Linked DNA regions of Oryzias latipes. The protein of the gene in region 2 purifies or fractionates together with the protein of the main gene of each other region. This does not show direct contact. Links are inferred from orthologs where the notes say so. Each region holds a gene or a part of one and is shown on either strand. Other genes may lie near its edges.

Region 1 (9,828 bases), on a different chromosome or scaffold from region 2:
TGTGAAAAGGTGTGGCAACAAATACTGAAATATATCAATCATGCAGTCATATTTCGTCCTGATCACTTGAAACACTCAGTAAATCAATGCATTCGATGTGAAAATTAGGCAAACGAGTCTTTTAAACAACACAATGTCATCTGCATAACAACTGACATTTTTGGAAATTGCTAATCTTACATTTTGACTTAACTTGCTGCTGTCTTTTAGGCCAGTGGTTCCCAACCTTTTAAGGCGCCACGGAGCGCTTTGATGTCAGACAATATTTTCAAGGACTGGGCTGCACTAGGCTGAAGTTGGACTTCGTTTTATTTGGCTTCTAATTAAGTTAGAAGCTGAGCGGAATTTTCACATGAAAACCATCCTACATGAAATCTAATATAAAATAGACATTTTGAAAATGTCTGTTGGCGTTTTATAGATGGGAAAGCTTAAAGCGTTAAAGCGGAAACTAAAATAAAAAATAAAATAAAAAAATCTTACACCAACTTGTATTGTCTGAATTTTAAAGTGTGGCAGACTAATGCCTCCTTAATAAAATGAGAAAACCAATGATAGACGGAAAAACAACTTTTTTAGCAGTAACTTTGTAATATTATGCAAATTATGCAGAGTAAATCCAATATTTTAGTTTTTGTCTGTTAAATACGTATGTTTTTTCTTTTTTTTTAAGTTAAAGACTCTTCTGTTTCCTCTTTAAGTCTTTTCTGTGAGAAGAAACTTTTTTATTTTAACTAACTTTGCTTAGCTACTTTATAAAATTAGTACGGTAGATGGATTCATAACACATGACAGCGACTTCAAAAGCGTCAAGAATGAGTCATAGACGGAAGAGAAACCGACAGTTTAACAAAATACAACTTCCTTCAAAATAATATGAAAAAACAAATGTAATCTAAGTACTTTTGTCTTGGCAGGTGGGTACCGGTCTGCGACTTGGGGGCCACTGGTTTAGGCAACATTTCTTTTAATATTAGAGAAATAACTTTGCACGTTTTCTACTTGTTATTCTTGTAAATAGACATTTAGTCTATTTGTTAAACACAAAACTTGGAGACAAACAAATGGTGGATTTACCTTTTCTAACCTGACAGAATGTAAAACCATTTCAGCTCGGTTCAGCATCAGGCCTTTAAGGATGAAGATCACGTCCTAATGTTGTCAGACGTGGATCGTTTTTCTCTTGCTTGGACTTTCCTGAACATTGATGAGTTGGAACTAAGATGATGGAGCTGCAGCAGATGTGACTGTGGACTAGAATGTTTCTGCACATTCCAAACATGCAAACATCAAATGTTCTGTAGAACTTTCCTTGTATTTAAGTATTTTTATATTTCTGACATAATCTGGGGGCAAGAAATGTTTTTAAATGAGTCGTTTCTGTGTGAAAGTAGCTTTTTTTCCCACAAATATGAGCTAAACTGAAGGATTAGCATTAAAATGTGTTTGTATTTTGTTTGTATTTTGTGTTTTTGATGAGTTTAAAGAAGATGAATGTTTGACCGTCAGTAAAACGGTGGACCCCCATATCATAGACAAGTGAAACCTTTACTGTTACGCAATAATACAAAGAAAATGTGAACAAACTGGACTCTTTACTTTTAATCCTTTTGTGAAATTGTCTTTTCGTTTTAGCTCTAAATAGTTGCTGAAAATGTATTTTATCTGTTTAAGACTTTAGACTAGAGCCAAACAACTACAAAAAGGTATGCACAGTAACCCTTGTGCTATCCTAGGCACTTTACCATTGGGAGTTGGGTCATCTAGACCAGCGTTTTTCAACCAGTGTGCCGCGGCACACTAGTTTGCCGTGAGAGATGGTCAGGTGTGCCGTGGGAAATTGCCCTCATTAACTGATCTAAAAACATTTCCCATTTCCAGGATTTCAGCTCTCTGTTCATCCAAACAGGCCCTGATAAAACACTGAGGAGTTAGGAATATAAAAGATCGTAAAATACTTTTTCTTTGTTTTTATTTGATTCTATTAAAGACATTTTGATAAGAATGACGGCACCGCAATTCAGCTGCAGCTCCGGCTGTATTTTGGAAAAGTCCCGTCTCCACCAATCATTCTTGAAGGCTTAATCACATGTCATCAGTCTGACCAATCAGAAGTGGTTAAAGTATTCACTTCCTTGTTCCGATTCTGCTGATAATGTCGCTCAGTTCCACCAAAAATAGCAGCTAAAGCTCGTTTTTAGCGGTGTAGCTTTCCACAGAATCCGGTGTCAGACCGTGGAACAAGTGAACAAAACCATGAAGCTCAGAGACGCGATCTCCGCCGGCCGTTTAATGCACTACATCTCCCATGATGCATTGGGTTGTGAGAGTGACAACGCACAAGGAGATCTGTTGTTAAACGTCTTGTAACCAACGAACACACTTCAAACTTTTTTTAAATCTTCTAACTTAACTTTTATTGCACCTTTTAGAAAAACAGCTGCAGTTTCCAGCTTTTTCTGCAACAATTATCTCTTTGAAATGCATGTGAGATTGTGGAGGGAGGGGCTGTAGATCAATACAGACTATGAGTTTCTCCTTTTTTTTTTTCATTTTTGGATGCTGGTGTGCCGCTGGATTTTTTTTAAGGTTAAAGTGTGCCGTGGCTCAGAAAAGGTTGAAAAACACTGATCTAGACCCACTAGACAGTCCTCTGAACCTTTTTTCTTCAATGATTTGTGATCTTCACTGGTGTCCATGGATTACATGAAATCTTTCCATCTTCATCCACCTTTGTCATGGTAGGGAGAACATGTCAATGTAAGGGGGGGAGGGTCATCTAAGATATTACAAGGGCTAGTGGGTCTAGATGACCCAACTCCCAACATTAAAGTGCCTAGGATAGCACAAGGGTTAATGCTAAGTGTCAGGCAGGGCAGTTTTGATTCTTTGGGATGACTTGTGGATTTGAACCCACAACATTCCAGTTTCAGGGCAGACACTCTTCCACACGGCCACTGAATGGGGTCAACAGCCCTAGAAACCCTGTCAAATCGTTTTATGAAGAATACAAAGTTTATTTCTTCAACAAACATATCAAAAATGTTTTATTTACAGTCTGTATGACAGACAGAATGGTTTAAAGAGGGTTTTTTTTTTTAAGCAGCCTGGTCCATCAGGGCGTTGCTATGGCGACCACCTTCACGCCTGGTGAGCAATCTGGGCAATTTTCTTCAGCATGTCCTCCGACTGCAGCTGCTCCAGCGTCAGCAGAGACAGACCCAGCTGGTCCTCCTGCAGAGGGACAGCAGACGCGGTGACGTAACCCGCAGAGAAACACGCCGGCGGTCCGGCGGCTTTACCTGGCGGAAGGGCTGGGCCATCTGCCGCAGGAAATGCTTGGACAGCTGGACGGTCTCGTCCACCGTGAGGTTCAGACTGCCGTCGCTGATGTGCTCCTGGATCCAGCGGGGCAGCTTCCCTCGCTTATCGGCTCGGGCGTATCGCTGCGGGCCGCAGAGCTTTTAGGCAGGACTGCAAACGCCTCGCGCCTCGCCGACGACCGTCACTCACCTTGTCGGCGAAGATCATGAGGCCGTAGTCGGTCTTCCCGCGGATGGCCCGGCCAACACACTGAGCGGCGTGGCGCATGGCGTCAAACGTCAGGAAGTCGTTCTCTCTGATCTGGAACTGGTCCCTGAGGTACTCCAGTCGCGCCTGGAGCCAAAAAACGCAGGAATGTCACATTTTAAGTTGAACGAAAAATGTTGGAATTTTTTTCTGAAGGAGATTTTTCTGTTTAAAAAAAAAGATGATTTTATTTTGAAGGATTTTGTCTAAAGGGATTTTTTTTTTGTTTCTTGATTCTTTTTTTTTTCCATTTAATGATGAAAATATTTCAACAGAATTGCTAGTTATTATTCATTTTTGGGGGGAAAGATGCATCAACTTGATCTGAGAGATTTATTTTAGTTATTTGTTTTCAACCTAAATAAATGCAGACAAACATTCTCACTGGGGGTCGTTTAGTTTTAGGAGCTGTTTATATATATATATATATATATATATATATATATATATATATATATATATATATATATTTTTTTTTTTTGGTTTTTGATTTTATAAAAAGTTCCATTTTAATTCCAGGAGGTTGTTTTTTTACTTTTATTGCAGTAATATTTTAATCCTTTTTTAAACATTTTCTGTTCTTTTGTTGTTTTCTTTTGAACGTTTTCTTTTCTGTCATCAAAGTGACTTAACAATAATTTGAAACCCGGTTGAAGGTTTATGACCTTTTTGATGTTTAATTTTTGGGAACTGAAAGAATTCACAAACTTTGCTTCAGGTTCACTTTTTGAGTTTTGGCATAAATCCTAGAAACGGCACATTTTTTATTTATTTATTTTATCGGCGTCTTTCTCCAAACTGTGAAAAAGGGTGGTTCCGACCGGATTCTGCGTTCTGACCTTCAGGATGCGGCTCTGCGTGTAAACATAAGGAACTCCGAACATGATGACGGCGCGGCCAAAGTGATGCACTGGAAAAAAATAAAAAACACGGATTCACCATGAAAGCCTAAAAACCGGAACCTCTGTGGAGGATTTACCGAAATCGATTCCCTCGGAGACCTTCCCCCTCGCCACCGACAGCAGGATGGCGCCTCTGCCGTTCTCGCAGGCCTGCAGAGGAACTCGGGAAGTTCAAGCGGAAACGTGGGAGCTGCGTTCGGCAGGAGAAGCTCACCTCCTGGTATTTCTCCAGAGCCATGCTGGTCTCCGCTGCATCCTGAGTCTCGATGAAGATCAGCTTGTTCCTCTGGATGTTCTCCAGGATTCCCTGCGAAGCCACCAAAGGCGTGGAGGAAAAGGTTCTCCGCCGAGGCGCCGCTCAGACCACGGTTCCCTTACCTGCTCGTACCACGACGCCACGATGTTCTCCATGTAGACGTAGCTGGTGAAGAACGCCACGATCCCGTCGGGGACGATCGCCGACATCTCCAGGAGCAGGTTGCCATAGTTACGAATCACAGCTATGAAGCAAAAAACAAACTCCTGAATGTTCCCTCCATCTTCTGCGGGAAAAACCATGAAGTTCTGGACCCACCGAAGTCCTCCCTGGTCTCAAACTTGGAGCTGAGCGCCACCTGGTCGTTCCCTCTGCCCACGATCTGAGCCAGACGACAGAGGTGAGTGAGGAAGAGGAGGAGGAGGAGGAGGAGGAGGAGCGACCGCCAGCGCCACAACAGCACATACGCACCAGCGGACACAGGCAGGTCCGCGCCAGCGTCATGGTGAAGGACGCCATGGTAACGGGACGGAAGTCCAGGATTTTAGGATAGATGTCCAGAGGGGAGAGGGTCTGAGGGGAGGAGGAAAACTCCATGAAAACCCCAAACATGGGGGGAAAAAAACGACAATTATAGTGAAATTAAGAATTTATGATGAAAAATAAATAAATAAACAGTAAAATCAGGAACATAAACAAGCAGAAAGTCTCAGGTTGATTAAATTAGTATATCTCAAACATTTGACTTTTTTCTGATCTAATCAACTGAACAGAAAATATGAAAATGGAAAGATCATGAAGTTTATTGAAATATTCCATTTAGTCGTTTCCTGATGTGCAGACGGACGGACGTACCCCGGACGTGATGACCACGGACTGAAACCTCTGGAAAACGGGTTTGATGGCGATAGACGGGTCCATGCAGCTGTGAGGGCAGAGAACCGGATCAGAACCGGAGCAGCGGCTTTGAGCACTTCACACTTCCTGTCATGAGTTTGCAATGTTGAACTGGGACCAACATTTATTCAGATTTCTGAGGTTTTCATCATGTTTGTCCCAAAAATGATGAAAACCTCATGATTCCATGTAAAAGCTTCTTTATCCTTGATGCTGAAACTGGTTTGTGGATCTTTTAATCAAAAATTTGAAATTTGACTTTTTTTCTTTGGGTTTTTGTGCTGAAAACTTATTTTTACCTGCAACTTGTTGAAGGTTAAAAAGGCTCAGAGTTGACACTTTCTGCTGGAGTTTCTCATCTATTATACATCTTTTATAAATTATATTCTATATAGCATCTATATTCTATAAAAACGTAAACAGCCGGGAGTCCAGAGGGAAACGTGCAGAAAAACGAAGCATTTCTACCTGAAGTGGAGGACGGGGTTGGCGATGGTGGGAGTTCTGTCGTCGAACGGCTCGATGATGATGGTGAAACCTTCAGGGAGAGGAAGACAGAGCACAGTCTGCGGTGAAAAGCCCATCCGGACCTCCGGCTTCCTGCGGGGATCTGAGGCGAGCAGAACCTAAGCTGTAGGTGCTGACGAGAGTCGCAAAGTTGGAGATGAGGGTGACGGCGGAGAAGTCTGCGATGTCTGCGATCTCCAGAGTTCGCAGCAGCGACTGAAGCCTTTCTGCGCAAAACCTGAGCAGGCGAAGGAAAGAAATAAATAAAGGTGAGTGGTGAAGGAGGAGAAACGGAGCTCCCTAGAGGTTTTCACAGAACGGTCTGATGTCCGTTTGTGGAAAATAAACACGAAAGAATAACTTCAAGATTCTGAGGGCGAGAAAAACATCATCACAGGATGAGACGAGTCGGTTCTTCTGCTGCTTTGGATTTCTGTATAGACAGGATTAAAAAGTCTGTCACACAGCAACTACATACATTTTGTGCATATTGCACAGATGAAAATTGGTCATATGTGTGGAAAAAGTGAGAGAAGTTTGAGTCTTTAGGTGACATTTGCACAGATGTATCAGGAATGAACCACGCTAATCAACGTAGAGCATGAACCGTGTGATTATTGAGCTGTTTAGATGCAATTCGTTAGTGAATTGTGGGTCAATTACGCTATTTTAATGAGATTTGTGCGCCGTATACCTGATATATATATATATATATACTGAAAAGTCCGTTAGACATACGTGGAACGGTCGCGGAAAGCAACAAATCTGTGAATCTCGCAAAAATCACGCACAGTTGTGTAAGATTTATGTAATAATTTAAGATACGTAGAAACTGTGTAATTCTCATCCAGCTCAAAACCAAACTCTGGTAAAAATCCATCGGCTGAAATCCTTGACTGACGTCTGCGCGCGTCGACAAATGAGGAACACGAGAAACTCCCATCACGTATGAACCACGAAAACGTCCACAGCGGCTGTGAGACACGGCCGATATTAGATGGACAGGACAGACAGATTGAGCTCCAGAACGTTTCCACAAATCGATTCTCACAAACAGCAGCAGCAGAAACGCATGCAGGTTTTTTTTAAACCTTTTCACAGCTGAGCGTTAGCTCCAATCTTTACATTTCTTTGACTACCTTAACTCTTCAACCGTTTACGCAATGATCGTAATTCCAGCGGATTCTGGTGCGGTGAACAGAAGTCTTGTGCTGACATGCAACACTTTATACAAAAAGGTCGGCTCTTTGTGGGCGCCGCCTATGTGATGATGTCATCCGAGACGCCTCGGCAGAACTTTTGCAAAGATGGACGTGCATATGTTCATAAAAAAGGAAAGCGTTTAGACGATCACCGCTAGCTCCACGGAGAAAGTGGGCGTGTGTGTTAGCCTGGGGGCGGGGCTGGCACTGCAGACTCTTCCTGGAAGGGGCTGGTCCTCACTTTGTGATGTCACAATGCGAAGACCCGCCCGTTTTCGTTGGTTGGGAGGAGCTGCAGGTTTTTAGAGGAATGCTCAGAAATGCGTAAACGGACCAACATACTGTTTATTGTGAGGAATGAACATTAAAATACACCTAAAAGTTGGTTTTGAATGATACCGACGCTCTAAATGGTGAAACAGAAAATCCGTGTTTCCTGAGAAAACTGCGGCCCCTCCCCCGTGTGACCTGAAGCCGACTGACCTGAGAGGTTTGCGGTCGATGCAGACCTTCTCGAAGATGTCTTTAAGGAACTGGGGAGCGCTCTCCTGAACCACATGATGGACCCGCAGGCGGGACTTCAGGTACTCCAGGAATCGCCGCAGGAAGCCCAGGAAGTGCTCGGCGGTGCGAATGGAGCCGGGGACGGCCTCTGGCGGGGAGAAGCGTTAGTCTGAGTTCTGAAACCAGAACCCCACGGCCAGACCGAGCTCCAACCTTGCAGGATTTCATCAGGTAAAACCGGATTTGCCAGGTAGACGTCCGTCTCCCTGGCAACGTTGGCCTCCTTCAGCCCTTCCACCAGCCGCCGGTACTCCTCCCTCAGCTTGGCGGCATCCGTGTCCTTGATCCTGCAGATGAGAACGAATCGGATGAGAGGAGCTGGAATGAAGCACACATGACCGATTCCTGAAATTATTTAACAGAAATTCTCAGATTATGGTAATAAAAACACGCCTATTTGCTTTTATTTCTCCATATGGAGGACCAGCTGATTAACCGACACTTCCAGGATGAAGAAAAAATCCTTGAACCTAGAGGCAGGAAACTTCAGGATTTTTCTCTTTAATTCAGTTTGGATCAAACAGAAGCGTCTTATTTTTCCACCCAAAGATGTTTATAGAAATAAGAAAAAAAACAGTTTTGACTCCAAGCTCTGATGTTTTCAGAATCAACATTTGAATTTGATTTCCTTTCATAATTGAGCTTTTTTTTTTTTTTAATATGGATGAGTCTGATTTATGGTTAATGACAAACAGAAACTCCATTACCCACAATTCCTGGTGCCATTAGGGTTTTACAGCTCAAATTTTTGGGGGTTTTAACGCAGAAAACTCCAGATGTTTTTCGTCCTGGTGTGGATAAAAGCAGACTGGGCTGCGTCTCACTTCTGGATGGTGTGCTGAAGTGTTTCCACGTTGCTCTGACAGCGGTCCAGAGTCCTCCTGGTGATGTTCACGCTCATGGAGTCGATGCAAACGTTGTCTGAGGAACGAAGCGGACAAAAAAAGATGAAGGGGAAGAAAAGAAAAATGAAACAAACTAAAGAGAGACGGTTTACCGATGTTATGAGCTTCATCGAACACGACCACCGATTTCTTGGCGAGCTCTTTGGACACCAGATCTGCGATCTTTGGGTCTAGGAGGTAGTGGTAGCTGTACACCACAATGTTGGCGTGAAGAATCTTAGGACAGAAAAATGAGATTTTAAATAGAAAAAAAAAACATGAAGTTAATGCCAACAGTCATTAAAAATCACAAACTAAACATGAGTTTGGATTATTTTCTTTGGTAAATAGTGACGTTTTTAACTTTCTCAAGAACACAGCCATATAGAAGCAGAAGGCAGAGAGAAGGTCACATGACTTGGTTCAGGTCAGAGGTCATGACTCTTTGTCATGACGTTTCTTGGAAGCTGTGGTCAAACTAAGGACATCAGAAGAGAAGTCAAGCATGGGGGTGGTTGTGTGATGGTCAGGGGCAGCTTTTCATCTTCACCGACTACTTCATAAATTTTAACTTCTTCAGGGAAAATCTCGAAGAAGAAAGTCCATCTGAAGCTCCAGAGCTCTGCGGCAGCATGAGGTTTGCTGAATGGATCAAACATCAAGTTTCTGTGACGACCACGTCAAAGTTTGGACTTAGATCGAACAGATTAACAGTCGTTGATGAAAAATCCTCCAGTCCTTTACAGAAACGGACTGACAGGTGTCTGAGCAACCTGACTGCAGCTGCAGCTGCAGCTGCGCAGTTGGGCTGCTTTGATCTGGATTTTAATTGGAATTGGTTAAATGGACACAAAGGAAAACATTCTCCAGATCCATTCAGTCCCTGAAAGGGTTAAAGGTCAGGCACGTGCTGAGCGCCTCTGCTTGGTTACATACCGAATACCGAGCCAGGTAATAAGGACACCAGCCTTTTCGTCTGCCAAAGTCCTTCAGGTCGTCCAGGTTGTAGATGCCGGCAGGAAGGGGAACCTGCCGACCGACGGCGT
Region 2 (11,155 bases):
TGCCCCGTAAGAGCACCACTGATGCCATTTTTGCTTTGAGAATGTTGATGGAAAAGTACAGAGAAGGTCAGAAGGAGCTGCATTGTGTGTTCGTAGATTTAGAGAAGGCGTATGACAGGGTGCCGAGGGAGGAGCTGTGGTACTGTATGAGGTCGTCTGGAGTGGCAGAGAAGTATGTCAGAGTAGTTCAGGACATGTATGAGAGAAGTATGACGGTGGTGAGATGTGCTGTAGGTCAGACAGAGGAGTTCAAGGTGGAGGTGGGACTACACCAAGGATCAGCTTTGAGTCCTTTTTTGTTTGCTATGCTGATGGACAGGCTGACAGACGAGGTAAGACAGGAATCTCCCTGGACAATGATGTTTGCGGATGACATCGTAATTTGCAGTGAGAGTAGAGAGCAGGTGGAGGAACAGCTAGAGAGCTGGAGGTTTGCTCTGGAAAGAAGAGGCATGAAGGTCAGTCGTAGTAAGACAGAATACATGTGTCTGAACGAGAGGGATCAAGGTAGAAGCGTTAGGTTACAGGGGGCTGAGGTGAAGAAGGTGCAGGAGTTTAAGTACTTGGGGTCAACAGTTCAGTGTGATGGGGATTGTGGAAAAGAGGTGAAGAGGCGAGTGCAGGCAGGTTGGAGCGGTTGGAGGAAAGTGTCAGGAGTGTTGTGTGACAGAAGAGTGTCAGCAAGACTCAAAGGAAAGGTGTACAAGACAGTGGTGAGACCAGCTCTGCTCTATGGGTTAGAGACGGTAGCAGTGAGACAGAGACAAGAGGCTGAGATGGAGGTAGCGGAGATGAAGATGTTGAGGTTCTCCTTAGGAGTGACCAGGTTAGACAGGATAAGGAACGAGTACATCAGAGGGACGGCTCATGTTGCCTGTGTTAGCGACAAAGTCAGAGAAGCCAGACTGAGATGGTTTGGACATGTTCAGAGGAGGGATAGTGGATATATTGGTAGAAGGATGTTGGAGATGGAGCTGCCTGGCAGGAGGGCAAGAGGACGGCCAAAGAGGAGATACATGGATGTCTTAACAGAGGACATGAAGTTGGCTAACGTTAGGGTAGAAGATGTTCATGATAGAGTGAGGTGGAAAAGGATGATTCGCTGTGGCGACCCCTGATGGGAAAAGCCGAAAGAGAAAGAAGGACAACAAATGACCAATTAGATAACCATAGCAAAAATAAGATGCTAAAAAGTCAACTAAACTCTTTATATCACTTCAAATAACTAAGTCTCTTGAATTTCTGTGTCGCTTCTGAACAACTTCATCGAGCCCGGCGTAAGACTTCTTCAGTATTAAATACTGATCCACACACATATATAGTGCCCTCTAGTGGTTGTTGCTATTTTTTTTAATTGAATCACACATAAGTCGCACCAGAGTATAAGTCGCACCAGCACGCCAAACTATGCTAAACTCTGAAAATACAGTATTTTGTATTTAATCATTTTATGTGAAGGAACTGGGGGGGAAAAAAAGACAAAGTATATTTTATCTGCTTATTTACTATTTATTGGTTTAACATAGAAAAAATAAAAATAACATCCATGTGCAGGGAGTGAGTCTGGTAGCCTACTTGTTTTAAACTCAAGTAACATTAATAAAAATATTTTATCACAGTCCCAAAGTTTAGGCATCATGAAGAACCAGAACCAACGGTTCTGACTACAGTCTCTGTTGCACCTTAGTACTGCTGGATGCTGCAGCACCTTGAGGTGTTATGCCACAGAGACAGCATCATCTGCTTTTAAGCTGCTTTCTGTTCCATCCAGGAAACAGTCCTGAGTAAAGCAAGAAGCCACATCTCGTTGTAGACATTCCCTCCCGTCTGTGAATCACTTCTGGTCAGAAAACGAGCTTCTTCTTCATTACGGCTGAAAATAAAAAAACAAACAACATGTTAAATTAATTAAAGTAAAGCATTTATAGATACAACCACTTGACATCAAGTCCGTTTTCTTTTCTATGCATTCACATGCTAAAAGTCCAGAGTTTTTATCTACAGTGTTCTTTCTGAAAGTCTCTTTGAGACAGGATAGAGCAGACCAGAGAATATGTAGTCATTATCCAAACCACAGGAGGAGCACAAAACAGGCTTTGAACCTCCCAGTTTCACCAAGAAACCAGCCCTCCCCACCACTCACTGAACTGCAGTGTTTGCTCTACCATATTCTGAACTTCTAACTTTAACTCAGCCAACACCCACTAAATGGCTGGGTTTGGTTTAGAGGTATGCTGCCTTTTAAAGGTTACCATGTGGACTGTGAGAAGCCAAACTATTTACTATTCTTTCTGAAGTTTGGGCTTTCACGGGACATTTAGGAACTCTTTTAGACCCAAACGTGCTGCTCACACCAACAGAATAAATAAATATCAAAGATATGTACAGGTGATCTTTGTTTATTACACAAATATCGGTAAATCTGGCTCAGGGTGGTCTTTAGAGGATTAAGGATGAACTTAAGACTATAAATATAAAAAGAAGTCATAAATCGATCTTTACTTGTTTCAAGGCCTTCAATTTTCCTCTTTAGCCCAACAGTTTCCTTTTCCCTCAAAGCCTCAGCCGAGCAGTTTGGTCTGGGGAGCTGTGGACCCGGTGTGGGTCCAGGCCGATTACTGAAGTACTTCATCTTTAGAGCCTGGGCAAAACAAAACAAACAACAATGGATGTACACTATATCTGCAGGTATCACTGCTGTGCCTCTCATACTTGTTTCCATATATATTATGTGTGGTTTTACAAAATAAATCCTCTCATGAAAAATCCAAAAGTGTTTTTCTGTGTCTTCATCTTTTTTGATTCTTAAAAGAAATATAAAAAGAAAACCTAATTTGACATTTACAGAATACGTTTTATTGTGAAGCCATATAATTCAGCGTAAAATAAACCTGCTACCTTTAATGAAGCATGTTCTAAAGATCTTTTATTTCTGGTTTTTAGATTTAAACAAACTTTTTTAAACAACATGATCTTAATAAAACTGGCACAATTTTTTTTTTTAAATGAAGAGGAGCAGCTGCACTGTAACATGGCATTTACCTGTGTGGCTGTGGTCCTGGTTGTGGGGTTGAAGGTAAAGAGGCCCTGTAGTAGCTCAAGTAAATCATCCCCAGCTGCACTAAATATATGTTCCAGCGGTGTGCCAGGAAATATCTTGAAGGACACAAAGTCTGGCAGACTACTCATTCCCTGCAGAGACGGTTGACAAACAGATGTTCGCAAGGAGTTTTACCTCTCTTAGGACAGTCTCATCTGATATATAAAGGAAAAAAAAAACTGAAACCAACAGGCCATGTTTCATCTGTGGCGGTTCCAAGAGCCTCGAAGATTTTGGTCAGCTGATCGAGATCAGAGTCTCCAGCAAGGAATGGTATCTGCAGAGGGGGAGACAATCATTTAATAGATCAGCGCAATGGATGGATATTTATGTGAAGTTTATGTACCCGAAGAAGCAACTCTGCCAGGATGCATCCCACCGCCCACATGTCAACGCCAACCCCATACATCCTGGCACCAAACAGGAGCTCAGGGGAGCGGTACCACCTAAGGAAGCAGTTGGGGAAAACGGAGCAAACAGTCACGTTAAGAGGAACAAAACTCTCAGATGTTTCCTCCCATTGGAGCCAAGTCTAACCGAGCAGCACTCATTTATGGCTTCTTTCCACTAGTTCATAGCTCATGGACAGCTTTCTGTTACCTCACTGGCCCACTTGTGTAACAGCTTGCAAATGAAATATTAATCAATCAAACTTTATTTATGTAGCACTTTTCATGTAAAAGTATAACACAAATCCTCCACTAATGTGTTTAACTCTGAGCAAAAATGTACAGCTGCAGCACCCCATAGATTCAAACACACAACAGCAATGGGTTCACTTAACTTTAGTTAAGTGATCAAAGGAGACAAATAATTTGATCTTTTATTTAGTAATCTAGCATTTATACTTTCATTTAACATGGAAAATCATTTCTGAAAAGAATCTGCAGTATCTGAGCAAACTCAAAGACAGAAAATGTTACGTTTCAGCTGAACTTCGACTGTGAAAGCCAGTCACAATTCAATCCCCAGAATTTAAAATATTAACATTATATTAGTCTACTCATCTGAAATATAATTTCTATCTAAATGGAAGAAAATCTTGTAATTGGTTGTAGTTTCATTTGGTGGAACTTCAGGTATAAGTTAAACTGGATGGGTTTTCTTTAGGTCAATTTGATCTTTCATTTCTTAACAACTCTTTTGAAGTGACTAAAAACCTGTCGGATTAAGATATTAAGATAAGATACAACTATTTTTATAATTTAAAAAAAAGATTATTCATTTTTCATTTAATTTCATTTTATAAATAATAATTTGAGAAAATGATCTCAAAATGACAAAAGTGTCTTAAATAAATCCAGAGGAACATTTGATGAAGTTAATGTGTGATTGACCTAATGCTGGAAGTCAGAAGCTGAGAACCATCTCACATGTGAAAAAACCTCAATAAATACATTTGTAACACAGGAAACTTTTCCCAAAAGCAGCTTTAAAGCCCAAGGCAAGAGTCATTTGGAACCGCCACAGAGGTTAACTCCATATTTTCTTTGAAAGTAAAGCTTTTGAACACATTATTTACTATTAAATAACACATTTTAACATTAAACCTACTTATATTTTATCATTTTTCTGAATGAAAACAATTTATTCTTAAAATCTTTTTTTTTAAACGTAAACATTGAGATATGAACAATATTCAGGCAGCTTTGGTCTTGCTTTTCTAAATTGCTATTAAAGAGCAAAAGAAAAGAACACAGACAAAATTTCTTATGCAAGTATTTTGTCACCTTTTTGTTGTCTATATTTCCGCAGAATACATTTCTCTGCAGACTTCCTTTACAAGTCGGTCGTCACTCTGAAGCGCATTGAGACGACTGTTGTTGTGATTTAGGGCTATATGAATAAAATTGAATCGAATTGAACTCTGCTGTGTAGCTGATGACAGCAACTCTCTCCGCTCAAAAGGTAAAAAGTAAAGCAAAAGCTAAAAATTCTTAACAGGTTCTTAGTTTGCACAGACCTGGTAACAACTTGATGTGTGTAGACTCTGTTAGGGCTCCCAAAAGCTTTGGCCAAACCAAAATCTGCCAACTTCAAGACTCCGCTACCGTCTAACAGCAAATTATTGGGTTTCAGATCCTGCAAACAGAATTAATAAATTACTTAGAATAAACAGAAAAACCAAACATTACAAAAGCATGCATACCATGAACAGTATGAAAGTATGAAAAGTAGTGTATGAAATACAAGTGCACTAACCCTATGTAGAATCCAGTGCTGGTGCATGTATTCTAATCCCTGTAGAGTCATAAGGATGTAGGCTTTGATGTTGGCTGGAGTCAGCACCAGGCTGGTGTCTTTAATGACAACCTGTTATTAAAATAAAAAGGCAGTTAGAAAGAACCTTCCTGTTTGCTCCCAAGTAATCACCATCTATTAACATTTAATAACTTATTTTAGAAGTTATTAAAATTGTTATTAAAAGAAGAAGAAAAAACAATTTTAATAACTGTAAGCCATACTGAAAATGTATTTAGATTTCTTAAAAAGTATAATAAATAAAATGACAAAGGAGACACATGCAAATCAGCTAAGATTTGACTTAAAGATCAACACAGCAGGGCCCGTATGTTTTCCCTTTGTCGAATGTTGAGAAGCAAAGGCTGTTATCTCAATCAACTCATATTACCTGAAGTAATCATGTTAAATATGACTCAAATATTCAAGGTTTTCCTAGGTTGATATAAGATATGTCTCACAGTTTCCACCCTTCCTGCTTCGCTAATGTAAGCAGCTAATGGAAAAAGCTCAATGTGAGTGAAAGGCAGAGGGATATGCCCCCCCCCCCATCTTAGACCCTAACACATCAGAAATGGGTAAAATATGAAGATGAAAAGGAAGACAAATATAAGAATATATCTTTGATTTTGATTTGAAATAGTTTATTTCAAGCAATCAAAGAAAAAATAATGCACAAAACAATACAACCAGCAGTTTTACATTCATAAAAAGATGTATTAAACTTAGGATAATTAGACAGTAAATAAAAGATTGCTTGAAAGGAAGTGGATATAGACACATTCTCACCTCTAGATCTGTTTCCATGAAATCAAACACCAGACTAATGTTTGATTTATGCCCAAATGCATCCAGCAGCTACAAGAAAGGGAAATAAAAAGCACAGTTAGCATTAGACAAAATGTTTATTCACAACTAAGCAATAACATAAGCTGCCATTCAAATGTTTTTAGTAACATGACTAATAGACAGTACAGTTCCTCTAAATTGTAATTGTGTCTGTATGTTAACAGGAGCAAATTCAGTTCAATACCCCGATGATATTTGAATGATGCAGCTCCTGCAGCAATTTGATCTCTCGGAGAGCAGTTCGATTTATACCTATATAGGTAAAAAGAAGCACAAACAGTTGAAAAAACAACACCAGCTTTGTCAGTAACGACGTGCAGAAAGGCTGCACTTACCATCTTTAGCCTCAGTTCTGTGGCCTACTTTAATCTGAAAAGTAAACAAACAAAAGATACTAGTTTGTTGATAAACAACAACCCATAATAGACCATTTAAAAAGTACAATCACCAGGAAGAGCCCGTACCTTTTTAATGGCAACTATTGTGTCAGTCAATTTATCTCTGGCTTTGTACACAGTGGCGAACTAAAGAAGGAACAAAGAACATAATGTTTAGTTTCCCAGTCTTTTTTCTTTGTTTGTTTTGTCATTGTTGCTGATAAAGTGAAAGTATTATTATTTTTTAAATGGTCTAATTGTGTTTAAATAGCAGCATGGCCAGGTTGCTTTGTTGACATTAGGCATTGGCTAATGCTAGTTAGCTTAAGAGCTTTGTCTCGGCAGATATACAATACCAATACGGCTTTAAATAAAAAAAAACAGGTTTTAAATTACCATAACAGTTTCTGTCCTACCTGACCCTCTCCGAGAAAGTCCAGTTTCTCATACCGTTTGGATCTTGTTTTCACATCCACAGACATGTTAGCTAACTGTCAGTTTCGGTAAATGACACTTCCGGTCACGTTGAGGGTCCTCACAAACTGTTTCCGGGTGAATTAGCTTTAAATAAAACAAAAGCGCCACCTGTCGATTGAATTTGTACAACACAAGTCGTTTGTTTTGGAGCGCTCTTGTGTCTTGTTTTGTTTAAACATAAAATGAGATAATTATGTCATAAAGTATGTACCACTAGTGTGTCATAATAGATAATTGAATGCTGAAATAAGGATATTAATTTATGAGGAAAAATTAAAAGCAACTTTCATAACCCAAGTTCAACTTCACCATCCACTTTGACAATGCACTACTACACAAATAAATAAAGAATGAAAAAATGTTTTTACATTAAGTAGTGAAATTAAGTTTACTACAAGTACCCATGGTCTATTCTACAAGTTAGTCAGTATATTATAGTTACATTTTTAAATACAATCTAGGGTATATATTGTAAACTTAAAATGTTCCTGAAAGACACTAAATGTTCCGATTTAGTCTGGAGAAGTGTTTAATTATTTACAATTAGTACACTGTAAGTGCAGGGTATATAGAAGACTTACTATACTCATACTTATACTCAAGTAAACTTAATTAAAAAAACCTTCAAGTCCACTATTATTTGCTAAGAGTTACGAAAATGTCCTTAATTTGGTGGAGTGACAGCACATCAGTGTAACAATCCCAACTCAGTTTTAAGATTTAAAAACTCCAGCTGCTTTTGAAAAGATCTAAAAAGATTTCAGATTTGTTTAAAATAGTTTCTATGTTTGCTTACTTGTAGCCAATCTGTCCATAATATTCAAGTGTGTTTGTCCAAAAACACAATAGGCTCATGAGTAGATTTTAATGGCTCGATGTAGTGTGCACCACGGTTACATTTCTCTCCGTTTTTTTCTTTTTGCCATGCAGTTTCTCTCTTTTTATTTTGTTTTATTTTATTTGAGCAGTTTTAACATTGGTCCCTTGAGTGCCTCTTCTGTCAGTTAGGAAGATTTTGTGATCCATGCTCCACTGAGCACATCTCTACATCCCATCTCCATTCACAGTAAGATACCCTCACATCCCAGAGGATTAGGCACGGCTTCTCTCCTTTGACCCTCCTTGTCTCCGTGCCTGCACACAGCTGCACACACAATACACACTCACAACTGATTTTCATTTTAATGTGAGGTTGACAAGAGAAGTGTGAAGGACCAGCAGGCCTGATACACCCCTCATATGCACATTCCCAGTCTGACAGCACACAGATGTGGCTGACAGTATGTGTCTTTGCAACCAAGCAGAGAGAAATAGTGAGAAGAGAAGCTTTGCTGCTGCGCTCGAGCCTTCAGTGCCTTGGTCGTCAATATTTAGGGAGAAGAGTCAGCTAAGTGCGGGGAAACTCACAAATCAGTGGTAACACGGATTTAGATGACCAGCACTAAAGGAAATGCTGATCTCCTTTCATTGTGATGGGTTTTGGGCCCTTTTCGATGTCATTTACTTCTGGGCCCTGTGGTTTGTTCCAGTAAATCTCATGATGGGCAGCGCAGCTCACAAATTGGCTGTGTGTCACACAGGCAGATGGAGAGGCTGCTGAGCTAATGTGTGTGTACGCCCCTGTTTGCAGGCAGGAGGAGAGTGAAACCACAAAGCTGTTTATCAAGCTCATAGGAAGTGGGTGTTGTTGAGCGAGGACGTGTCGCACCACCACATCCTGCTGCTGGGAAGCAGCTTCAGATGGGACAGTGTTCACACAATGTACAGTAAACAACTAATGCAGGCCAGGTGTCTTTTTTGTTGTGTGCACATTAGTGTATTCGTGGTGTGCAGCTGCCCCATGCTGTGATTGCAGAGTCGTGATCATTTGTGGGTGAGGCTGTTTGGGTGGCCGCTGCGCAAAGTTTTTTTTAAGTCACTATGAACTGTCCTCTTGGTCGCCCCCACACATGCTCAGGAAAGTCACCACCAGTGCCCACAAACCATGAATGTCTCGTCAAGATGCGTACTGCAAGCTCTACAAAACTTATTGCAGCCTTGAGTGAGTTTCTTTGGGGGGAAAAGGGACCAAAATGCATATGCAAGTCAATGCAGAGTTTCTACAGATAGGCTATTCTTTTGTGAGGCATTGTTGATTATGCACACAATTAGGAAAAAAAACAACCAAAACATGAAGTTTGAGGCTATTTCTGCATCCGTAAGCTGTGAATGATTCAGCGCTACCTCCGTTTCATACACCTGCAGAGTCTTTGTCTTTGTTGTACTCTGAGAGTCTCAGGGGAAGTGGCAACGTTCCGTCATCTGGGGAGTTTTCCCCCTTTGTTTCTCACTGACTTTTTCACACCAACACACACTCTTACACGCGTACACACACAAAAAAACACGTTTGACCTGCAAGCGCTGTTATACTAACACAACAGGATGTTGTAGGGTGTATGTTTGAGGTGTGAAGGTTCATGCATACTTACAATTATTGTCTGATTCTCAGAGCTGATTATCACTAAATGCAGGTCCCAAAAGATGCTGCGACACTTTTAATCTGCTAAATACTGAATAGCACACAGGTCAGGGATTTAAACCCTCACTAAACTTCAAGTTTACCAGAACTTTTTTGTAAATGCAAGCTTTTCTGGCATGCACCATCCAGTGTGCCCAATTCAGTTCTTGCCAGTTGAAAAGTGTGACTGTGAAGCAGACAGAAGAAGGAAACATTATCTTCCTTGCTGCTGCATGTTTACACACAGACTCATCAAAATTGATGCTGTCAGTCCTGCATTAGATCTCAGTCTGAATAAAAAAGGAGGGCAGCATTTTTTTCTTCTTCTTCTTCGTCTTGTTTTTTCCGAAATTTCCTCCGGCACTTGAAGTAATACACTTGGGTTTGTGGGCTACATCAAGATGAGTTCACTTGATAGTTGAGCTCATAGACATTATGAAAATGTCCTTATAAGCAGCGGGGGGATGGGTGCAATGTCATCTCCTCACGCAGACAGAGCCAGCAGGGAATCTACAAACAAAAGCATTTAGGTCAGCTTTGTTGCTGTCGTTGCTTCAGTCTGAATAGGTTTCTTTTTATTCCTGCATCTTCTCTTAGACATCATTATCCCTTTCATTAGAACAGTCCCTATTGCATCCCCACATGGAGTCTTGAATTATATATCTTTATTTTGTGCCTCAAAACTTGCACCGCCAACACAGACTGCAAGTTTATTTGCCACAGAAAATGGTTGGAACTGCAATGAAGGAGACGCAAAAGGGATAGGCAGAAAGTGCACGGATTGAAAACCTTGTTGCCATGAGAACAAAAATATGTCTTGAGCAACTAAGGGCAGCAGGGAGTTCAAGACAGTCATCTCTGGAAGGTAAATGAAGGCGAGTCCGTTCTGATTTGTCTGCTTGTATCAGGAGCGGGAGATTTCTCCTGCAGCGGGTTATCCACAAAGACATTGACTTCATTAACCCCGCTAGGTTGCCAAAGCCCCAGTAATCAACCTCTTCATACGTCCCATTAACTTCTTATTGTATCTGAATGGCCTTTACTTTCTGCACCCATGCACACTCACATGTCATTTCACAGTGGGCGTTTGTATCTAAGTCACAGAAGTCTGTCTGGGTTTCCTGGCCTCCCCCTTGCACGAAGACAAACTCTGCCTCAGCCAACCCCCTCACCTCCATCGGTCTCAAAGGTCCCTTGGCTGCGATGACCCCACAGCTGCCCTGTGACATTAGTGGACTCTCCGAGAAAAACCCCTCATTGATTGCACATGAGCATCTCTCTCTTACAATGTCAGCTCAAGGTTGGCACATTGACTCTCTTCCCTCAGTGCAGTCAAGTGCTGCAGCTTTGTTAATAATATCAGTGAGGAGTCTCTTTTTTTTCATCTGTGCTGACTCCACTGCTCAGATTATTCATAGAGGCAGCAAGGCTATTATTCACACTCACCTTCTGAGTCATTTGTGGTTTCTTTCTCAGTTTGAATGTTTAACACCTTCATCTCCACTCCAAACTCTTTCCACAATAACCTTCAAGTATCGGTAGGTTTCATGTCACTTTTAAGGAGGGAAGCGTGTCTTTGGCATCCCATTCATAAGGGGAAAAAAGTTCCTTTGC

What was found.
Region 1: the proteins of cdk7 (region 2) and ercc2 purify together in Homo sapiens (affinity purification with mass spectrometry; 10 studies listed by BioGRID and IntAct, counting the BioPlex papers as one, with this or other methods). This does not show direct contact. The link is inferred for Oryzias latipes from reciprocal best matches to the Homo sapiens genes CDK7 and ERCC2.

The regions. Positions count from the first base shown.
Region 1 is NC_019871.2:4,137,123-4,146,950, reverse strand, and holds the end of ercc2 (general transcription and DNA repair factor IIH helicase subunit XPD), read right to left. Parts: coding exon 9,719-9,828; intron 9,020-9,718; coding exon 8,896-9,019; intron 8,820-8,895; coding exon 8,723-8,819; intron 8,186-8,722; coding exon 8,052-8,185; intron 7,987-8,051; coding exon 7,818-7,986; intron 6,371-7,817; coding exon 6,252-6,370; intron 6,164-6,251; coding exon 6,094-6,163; intron 5,654-6,093; coding exon 5,584-5,653; intron 5,302-5,583; coding exon 5,200-5,301; intron 5,111-5,199; coding exon 5,047-5,110; intron 4,973-5,046; coding exon 4,851-4,972; intron 4,780-4,850; coding exon 4,687-4,779; intron 4,623-4,686; coding exon 4,550-4,622; intron 4,481-4,549; coding exon 4,410-4,480; intron 3,658-4,409; coding exon 3,514-3,657; intron 3,447-3,513; coding exon 3,303-3,446; intron 3,235-3,302; coding exon 3,142-3,234; 3' UTR 2,997-3,141; downstream 1-2,996. UniProt on the Homo sapiens protein: ATP-dependent 5'-3' DNA helicase. Component of the general transcription and DNA repair factor IIH (TFIIH) core complex, not absolutely essential for minimal transcription in vitro.
Region 2 is NC_019867.2:13,784,476-13,795,630, reverse strand, and holds cdk7 (cyclin-dependent kinase 7), read right to left. Parts: upstream 7,107-11,155; 5' UTR 7,050-7,106; coding exon 6,984-7,049; intron 6,715-6,983; coding exon 6,655-6,714; intron 6,560-6,654; coding exon 6,526-6,559; intron 6,443-6,525; coding exon 6,375-6,442; intron 6,200-6,374; coding exon 6,131-6,199; intron 5,414-6,130; coding exon 5,303-5,413; intron 5,183-5,302; coding exon 5,064-5,182; intron 3,547-5,063; coding exon 3,447-3,546; intron 3,378-3,446; coding exon 3,291-3,377; intron 3,193-3,290; coding exon 3,043-3,192; intron 2,642-3,042; coding exon 2,503-2,641; intron 1,874-2,502; coding exon 1,845-1,873; 3' UTR 1,489-1,844; downstream 1-1,488. UniProt on the Homo sapiens protein: Serine/threonine kinase involved in cell cycle control and in RNA polymerase II-mediated RNA transcription. Cyclin-dependent kinases (CDKs) are activated by the binding to a cyclin and mediate the progression through the cell cycle.